2 linked regions of the Rattus norvegicus genome follow. The protein of the gene in region 1 binds, or shares a complex with, the protein of each later gene. Links are inferred from orthologs where the notes say so. Each region holds a gene or a part of one and is shown in the gene's direction. Other genes may lie near its edges.

Region 1 (4,513 bases):
ATACCAGGACCCTCCCTTCTGGGCTGTCAGAGTTGGGACACTTGGAGTAGCGGCCGCGGCGGGGCTGAGGTGGCCGCGGGGTCCTCGGTGGTTATCTGTGCAACAGCTGCAGGTCCCCTCGATGGTTCGCGTACCCCCTCGCCCGCCCATACCTTCTTGTGGTAGAGCCTGGCAGGAGCCGACAACTCCCGGGCGGGCAGGCGCGGGCTCCGGAGCAGCAGCGCGGACGCCGCCCGCCTCAGACGGCCCGCTCCAGCCGCCGCCATCTTGCCGGCTTGCACCTGCGTCGACCTCTGCGACGCCGAAGGGAGGGCGCGCTTGTATGACGTCACCGCTGCTTGGCGCTTGCGCTCTCCGCTCCAAGCGCGTGCACGCGTTTCGGCCGGTCTCTTTGGTCACGCCTCCGGAAGGGGCGTGGACGCGGCGCAGAGCGGGAAGGTCTGAAGCTGCGGTCACGTTTGTCTGGTGCTGCGATGGGCGTGGGGCCGCCCAGAAGTGGGAAGCCGGGCCTGACTTGCCCGAGGATGCTCAGACTCAGGCTTATTTGGGATTCGAGCTTGCATGAGTCTCTGTTCAGGTTCAGGCTTTTTTTTTTCTAATTCAAAGGCAGCCGTTTCATCTACGGAGCAAATAACATGTCAAGTGTACACTAGGTGTCACTAAAAAAAAAAAATTCCTGGGAGTCCCGAGGAAAGCAATTCCTGTCTCGTTAACCTTGCTGATGAAGGAGAAAGGCAGTGCAGAGGAAAACAGCAGTGTTCTTTTTTTTTTTTTCTACCTCAACAACGAGGAGTATAAAAGAAACAAACACCATACCTCCTCGACATGTACATGTTTGTTTTACAATCCACTGCATCCCGAGACGATACTTACTGTAATGTGTTAGCATTGGCTATATAGTCACAAAATCGATGCGTCTAACACCTGTTAGATACTAGGTGCTAGAAAGGGGAGGGAGCTTTATACTGAGAGATAGGCTTTTCTCGTGAATGGTGCATTGTATCGCGGAGGAACTGGAATTTTGTCCGCACCTGAGGGCCGGTTGCTGCGAAACAACAACGCACTGGAGCGGGCTGAGCCTTGCAGAAATCCTTTAGTCCAAAAAAAAAAAAAAAAAAAAAAAAAAAAAAAAATGACTTTGACCTTCCTAAGATGGCGTCTGGACCTTAACTATGGCCATCACGCACACACAACTGCCGGTATGGCTGCCACTTCCGGTCCCAAGACCCAAAAGCTGTCCAAGGTCGTAGCCCGACGCAGGTTATGCTAGTGAGCCTTTCTTCCTGACAGTGGCGTCCAGAGACGCCTAAGGATAATATCAGTGGTGGAGTCTTCACGGCTTCCTCCGCCCTGAGGCCCTTCGTGCCACTTCCGCTGGCGCCGAGCGGAGTTTTGGTCAGGCAGACGCCACGGACAGCCTAATGTTCGCCGGGCTTCGGCGGGCGAGGGAGGACCCGAGAATCGCGGGCTGCGCAAGATGGCGACGGCGACTGCATCCTCGGCGTCCGAGCCGGAGGTTGAGCCCCAGGCCCGGCCTGAGGCTGAGGGAGAGGAGGATGAGGCGAAGCCGGCGGGTGTGGGCAGGAAGGTGCTGTCCAGCGCGGAGACAGCCAAAGCCAAGGGCCCTGAGCGGGAGGTGCACCAGGAAGGTGTGAGCGAGAGCGATGGGGATGAGGAGGACGCCGCCATGGCTTCCTCCGCCGAGAGCTCCGCCGGGGAGGACGAGTGGGAGTACGACGAGGAGGAGGAGAAGAACCAGTTGGAGATCGAGCGGCTGGAGGAGCAGGTGGGCCGGGGTGGGCGGCGGGTTCTCTTCCCTCGGGTCCCCAGGCCCGGCCCGCCCCCTCGGTCCTCCGTGGTTATGGAGACCGCTGAGGTCTCCAGGGCGCTGTCAGCCACCGTGGGTCCCCGGTTCCCGAGCTCAGTGGGTGCCCAGAACTTCCGTAAAGTATTCCATTGGATCCTCTTCATGGTTGGGGAAGTAGTGTTAATCCGGTTTCACTGGGAAACTGAGGCTCCTGCCCAAGGTGACACTCAGCTGAAAGTGTTTATCTTTTCAGGCTGAACCCAATCAGGGCTCTTATCCTTTTTGTATTTTTAAACTTGTGTTTGTATGCATGCCCGGACGCGGTTGTCTCATAACCATGTGGGTTCCGGGGATTGAACTCTGGTCATCAGGTGTGGCGGCAAACGACTTTACCTGCTGATCCATCTCTCCAGCCCGGGACTGCCACTCTTAACCAGATAAGGTTTAGCCGTCTGACAGTCGGAGGAGAACTTATTTTCCTTTAGGGATAGTAATAATGGTCAAATGTGGTGTAGAACGGAAAATAGACCGCGACTGTAGTAGAAGCGCAGAGGTTGAGGCTTTTGATCTGAAGCCCGTTTTTTTTTTTTTTTTTTTGTTTTGTTTTGTTTGTTTTTTTGTTTTTTGTTTTGGTGGGGGCGGGGTTTGAGGCAGGATTTCAGTATGTAGCTTTGGCTGACTTGGAAGTCGTTATGTAGACCGGGTTGGCCTGGAGCTCACAGAGGTCTGCCTCCCTCTGTCGTCCCTGCTAGGCAGGAGCCACTAACTCCCTCTTATCTTATGTGTATGAGTGTTTTGCCTGCATGAGTGTGTGAGCTGAGACCAGAAGAAAGCATCAGGTCTCCAGGACCTGTAATTACCAGACTGTTGTCAGCCGCTCTGGGGTTGCTGGGACTCAAACCTGGGTTTTCTGGAAGAGCAACCAGTGGTCCTCATCGCTGAGCCAGAATCCTTCTGGGATTGTGTAATAGCTCTTCTACTCATGTGTCCTCAAGTTTTTTTTTTGTTGTTGTTGTTGTTGTTGTTTTTTGTTTTTTGTTTTCTTAACAGCTTCTGATGTAAATTAGGAGCAACAGCTCCTGTAAAATGGGATTATCATAATTATGATAACCCATGACACCTGCCTAGTGAAGTTGCCGTAGTTGCCCGGTCCCTAGCAGTAAAATGGTCCCTGATCTGTCATTGGCGATAGCTCCTTTACAATCCAGTGTGCTAGCAGGGGTAGGTGATAAAGTCAAGTTAGAGTAATTTGAGCAAAGATGCATGAATAGTCACTGTTTATAAATGTGGGCAGGGGAACCAGGGATGCAAGTTTTGTTCCCGTAGCCAGTCACAGCAGGACTCGGTGTCTATCTTAGGTCTGAAGGGGTGAAGGGAGCCTTATGTTACTTGGAAAGCCTTAAATTCATGGAGGTAGCACCTGAGACCTGATACTGTCTCCCCCCACCCCCCATGCTTCTGCTAGTGCCTCCTGTTGGGCAAACCCAGCTGTAAACCATTGTGCCAGAAGACCAAAATCTAGTGCACCCCAGTTGTTCATGGGACAAGGAGAAGATATGGAGGAGTGGGACCAAAAAGATGAAGCCTGTTCTCGTGAGGAAACGAGGCTCAGCAAATGGTAGGATCTGACTCGGCTGAATTCACACAAGTGGGCCTTGATCTCTTATGGTCATCTGTGGTCCAGATACCCCCCTGGAGGTGCGGTCCCTCAGTGATTTGTGGTGAGTAACACAGGCCAATCGGCTAACCTCTAACCAATAATTGCATTGGCCTGCATTTATAGCACTGATTCTTTTCCAGTTACAGAATGTTGCTCTAGCTTGCCCCACTTGTCCCTTTGTCTAATTATTAGAGGCCTTTTGGAGCAGGTGGTTATCATTCCTACTTTTTAGTACTAAGTGTTCTGAATCCTTTTGTTTTGAGAGGCGCTATTGTCTTTTAGAATGCAGGCTTCTGTTTGGTGCTCACACAGGTGCGCCTGTGCCATGTCAGAGGACAGTTTATAGGAGTCAGTCCTCTCCGTCCTCATCGCGGTCCCCAGGATCCAAGTTACAGTGTAGGGCTTGTTTGCAGTTGCTGAGCCATCTCTTCAGCTCCAAGAGGACTTTGTAGCTCAGGCTAACCTGGCGCTCACTCTCTAGCCTAGGCTGGCTCAATCTTCTGCCTTAGCCTCAGCCTCTCACATGCAGAGTTAGGAGCCTTTAGCTACCATGCCCAGGGGTTCACTGCATTGACTCAGCAGAAACTGGGGGATAGACTGGCTCTCCCTGCCCTTAAAGAGGAAATGTGTTCAGGCTGTGCAGTGGTGCACACTTCTCGCATTGGCAGTATACGTCATGTGCACTTTCACATTGGCCCATCCGTAAGTGTGGCCCATTTGGGTGCATAATGCATGTTAAGTGAAGGCTTCTGCACTATTGGCCAGCCGTACCCTCTCTGCTGTGCCTTTCTTGTGTGTGTGGCATCCTTTGTGCTCTGTCTTGACCAGGTAGCTTTGCCTGAGTCTCCTCTTTAAGCCTTTTATGTCATTAATGATGGCCTGAGCCTAGGATAGAACAGAGTGTACACTCGCTCATCACTTGAACTGTTTGGAAGGGTTTCTGTGTGTACGTGTGCATACGTAGGCCAGAGTCCATCCTTTCCTGAACACCCCCCCCCCCCCATCTCCTTCCCCAGCTCTGGGATTGCTAGCGAGCCACATGCCTG
Region 2 (3,809 bases), on another chromosome or scaffold:
TAGCTATGTCACTCCAAGAGCATTTAAGGTTAGTATGGGAAACTTACTCTCAGCAAGTGTGCTTGTGTCCCCAAAGGATCAACAAACAACAAACTCCTCAGCTGAGGGGTGGGAGTCCCATCACAGGGTCTCCTGGCCTCCCAAAGACACACATGGCGTAGAGCAGGATGGTGATAGGATTTTTTATTTGGGTTCTGTTTTCTTATTGTCTAGAAATGGACTGGAGAGATACTGCTTAGAGGTTAAGAACAATTGCTACCCTCCCAGAGGACCTGGGTTGGGTTTCCAGTACCAACATCTGGTGGCTCAGAAAAGCCTCTGTAACTCAAACTGGAGTAAATAAGATGCCCCCTTCTGACCTCCATGGGCATTTGCTCTCGTGCACGTGCGCACGCACACACATGCAGTTACACTGATGTGGTTTAGAATTGTTTAGACTGCCTCTGGATACCCTCTGTGCATGTTTTAGGTGTTGTAAAGAGCTTCCTTTAGATATGCTATTAAGTCTAACTAATCTAGTTTATCCTTGTGGCCAGTTGTAGACTATAAAATAAATCAGAATGAAACTGATTTACAAAACAACCATCAAATGGTCACTGACTGTATTTTCAATCTGGTTCTCACGCGTGGGTGTTTGTATGTATGAGGTAGTTACTTAGATCTCACCTTTAGTGAGAAGGTGGTAACATTCCTAGAACATCTAAGAAATATTTGTTGATCATCTAGCTGTTCCTAAAATATGAATCGAACTGAAGAGATGGCTGTGTGGTTAAGAGCACTGGCCACTTTTCCCGGGGACCAGGGTTCAGTTCCCAGCACCTGCCTGGTGGCTACCTACCCACAGTCTGTAACTCCATTTCAAGCAGGTACTATATGCAAATGCTGAAAGGCAGTGCAGGCAAAACACCAGTTTTGATTCTTCTTCACAAGTTATTTTCCACTAAGTTATCACAAATTAAAAGAACAAATACAGAAGCACACTCCTGGGGAAGTGGCAGATTCGAGTCCACCAAGCCTCGGTCACATTGTCATCAATTACTGAATACATCCTCTGTCGCACGTGTGTCTGTTTGAAAACTCGGGATTTATTATATATGGTTGGCACATTAATACTGATTTTCACAGCCAACCCTATAACTCATTGCTTAACAAATGTATCTAATTGTATTTTCCCCATAGAGGACATGACTGCCTCTGTGTCTGTGAACCTAGACAACACCTTAGCACTCTGCTTGGGAACTGTTTGAGGCCCTAGCTAGTACCAAGCACTAAGTGAGAGAGAACACTCAGACAAGTACAAGACAATGCTGAAGCCAAAAGGCAGTATCACGTGCCTTCTTCCAGGAGGGGTGTGTGCACATCAGTAACAGTTTTACTGGAACATACGTTCAGATAGTTTAAAGTGTATCACAACTTTACTCAGAGCACAGAAGTAATTTATAATAAGTAAAAATGAGAACAATTGTGTGCTTTTTAAGGAAACCTGTCACTAGCTGATTTTGTGATTTTGCTTGTCTTACAGACACAAGTAGGACGTTTTGCACCTCAGTTCTCTGGATATCAACAGCAAGACTGCCAAGAACTACTAGCTTTCCTATTAGATGGATTACATGAGGATTTGAATAGAATTAGGAAAAAACCATATATCCAGTTAAAAGATGCTGATGGGAGGCCAGACAAGGTAAATGAATGAGCTTCATGGTATTATTTTCTTCATTGTTAAAATTTTCTAACACCTTTTAGTAACTGTTTATTTCCTTTGTAGGTGGTTGCTGAAGAAGCCTGGGAAAACCATTTAAAAAGAAATGATTCTATCATAGTAGATATATTTCATGGCCTTTTCAAGTCTACGTTAGTGTGTCCTGAGTGTGCTAAGATCTCAGTGACCTTCGACCCTTTCTGTTACTTGACACTTCCATTGCCTATGAAAAAGGAACGTAGCTTAGAAGTTTATTTAGTTAGAATGGATCCACTTGCTAAACCTATGCAAGTAAGTAATGATTTCTTTCTTTACATTTGTTATTTTTACTTCGTTTGTGATGGGACCATTTTAAAATTTGCTTTCTCCAGCACTATTCGATTATAAAATTTATTGGATAATAGATTTCATAAGATAAATACTCTGGAAGTTACACCTGTGTAGAATTATGTGAAGTTGAGGGATGTCATAGAAAAATAAATTTATCAAGTTTGCACACCAAAGACAACCAAGATGTTTGTTTTATAATTTGGAATGGATATCCGCTTAGAAAGATAAATAACAGTATTATTGTCTGTATTTTTTCTATCAAGAATTTTTAAATGTATTTATTTTATATGTATAGGTATTTTGCCAGTATATATCTCTGTACCACATGTGTTTTTGGATCCCCTAGGCCTCGGTATTGGATGATTGTGTGCTCTCATGTGGGTGCACAGAATGGATCCTGGCTCTAAAGGAGGAGCAGCCAGTGCTCTTAACCACTGAGCTGTCTCCTAGCACTCCTCTAGTCAAATTCATTATGTTGTAGGTTTTTCCTGGTCACTTTTAGAAGTAAAGCTACTATTGTATTTTATTTAATATATTTATTATTGTCTATGAATGTGTCTACTATGTATTTATTATTGTATTTTCTAACTCATCATATGATCATGCATAAGTAGAAGTAATCTTCAGGCATTTTAAAATTGTTGATGAGAAATAAAAAACTGGTATAAAAATACTGGTTCAGAAAAAAAAAAAAAAATACTGGTTCAGGGCCACCGGGATTCCTCAGTGAGGTGAAGGCAGTTGCTGCCAAGCCTGATAGACCTGCGTTCAATCCCTAACACTCACTTGGTGGCAGGAGAGAACCTGGTCCCACAATTACATTCTGACTCCCACACTCATGATGTGACATGTACATAGACACAGTAAAACTTTAATAATAAAAATACTTGTTCAGTTGCTGTTCTAGTCTTTCAGACTTTAAAGTATCATGCTGTGCTTATTCTATGCAAACTCTCTGTGGCACACATTAATGTCAGTTGGTGGCCTGGTTCCTTTTCTGTGTGCTATCCCTGGGTTCCTCGGTGCTTTGTGAGGAAATGCTACATTTTCTGTTTTTAAATCAGTTATTCACATTTGACCCTGTTCTGGTGACAGCTCCCCCTTTGCTCCTCTAAACTCTGTTGCAGTACCTCAAAGATTTTGGTTTCCCCTTATCTTCCTTTCTCACCTACCCAGGGCTTTGTAGGCAGGGAGCATGTATTTCCAGTGCTGTGACTTGTAAATATTAATGCAGAAGTATATCCAGATGTGTGTTACTCACTTGGTGCTTTTTTCCTCAGACAAAGCAGATTCCTAGATTATTTTCTTAGGGTCTGGCCAAATATCTCAGATTTGTAGATACAGAGTAGAAGTGAAGTCTGTGAAAGGTACCCTGTGAACAAAACCACCTTTACTTCCTCTTAGCAAGAAGAGTGTCTGTGCACTGTTCTTAAAGCAGCTAAACAGCTCCTTCATGGAGAGTGATGCCAAGCTCCAGGCCAGCCCGAGTCTGTGTTCAGTGTCACAGTGTTGGGAATCTAAGGAGGTAGTCAGTGGTCCTTAAGCTTGTGTAGTCAGGCTGATGAGAAACTGCTTAGTTCCATTTGAGCTCCAGGGGATGAGGACAGTGATGGGGGAATGCATTAAGGTCTGTTTTGTTTTGGACATTGGGGTTATTTGTTGTTTGTTGTTGTTGTTGTTGTTGTTTAACTTCAAGTTAAGGTAAATATAAATGGGGTAATTGCTGGGTTTGGGCAGCAAAGGAAGGAGAAGACAAAATTCAGGCCTGGGTGCTAGGGTC

The links.
Region 2: the proteins of Sart3 (region 1) and Usp15 are in contact, whole or in part, in a crystal structure (PDB 5JJW), measured with the Homo sapiens proteins. The link is inferred for Rattus norvegicus from reciprocal best matches to the Homo sapiens genes SART3 and USP15. Residues at the interface, in NP_055521.1 of Homo sapiens: Ser438, Ser439, Lys440, Glu443, Gln490, Arg493, Glu494, Trp496, Asp497, Met500, Thr501, Ala505, Trp511, Tyr514, Arg533, Cys537; in NP_001239007.1 of Homo sapiens: Ser23, Leu24, Asp48, Trp50, Gly121, Met122, Phe123, Val124, Lys125, His126, Lys128.

The regions. Positions count from the first base shown.
Region 1 is NC_086030.1:48,518,390-48,522,902, forward strand, and holds the start of Sart3 (squamous cell carcinoma antigen recognized by T-cells 3), read left to right. Parts: upstream 1-1,463; 5' UTR 1,464-1,477; coding exon 1,478-1,786; intron 1,787-3,272; exon of another isoform or gene 3,273-3,528; intron 3,529-4,513. Other genes in the region: iron-sulfur cluster assembly enzyme ISCU, read right to left, coding at 153-266. UniProt on the Homo sapiens protein: U6 snRNP-binding protein that functions as a recycling factor of the splicing machinery. Promotes the initial reassembly of U4 and U6 snRNPs following their ejection from the spliceosome during its maturation.
Region 2 is NC_086025.1:60,658,521-60,662,329, reverse strand, and holds part of Usp15 (ubiquitin carboxyl-terminal hydrolase 15), read left to right. Parts: coding exon 1-28; intron 29-1,522; coding exon 1,523-1,681; intron 1,682-1,765; coding exon 1,766-1,990; intron 1,991-3,809. UniProt on the Homo sapiens protein: Hydrolase that removes conjugated ubiquitin from target proteins and regulates various pathways such as the TGF-beta receptor signaling, NF-kappa-B and RNF41/NRDP1-PRKN pathways.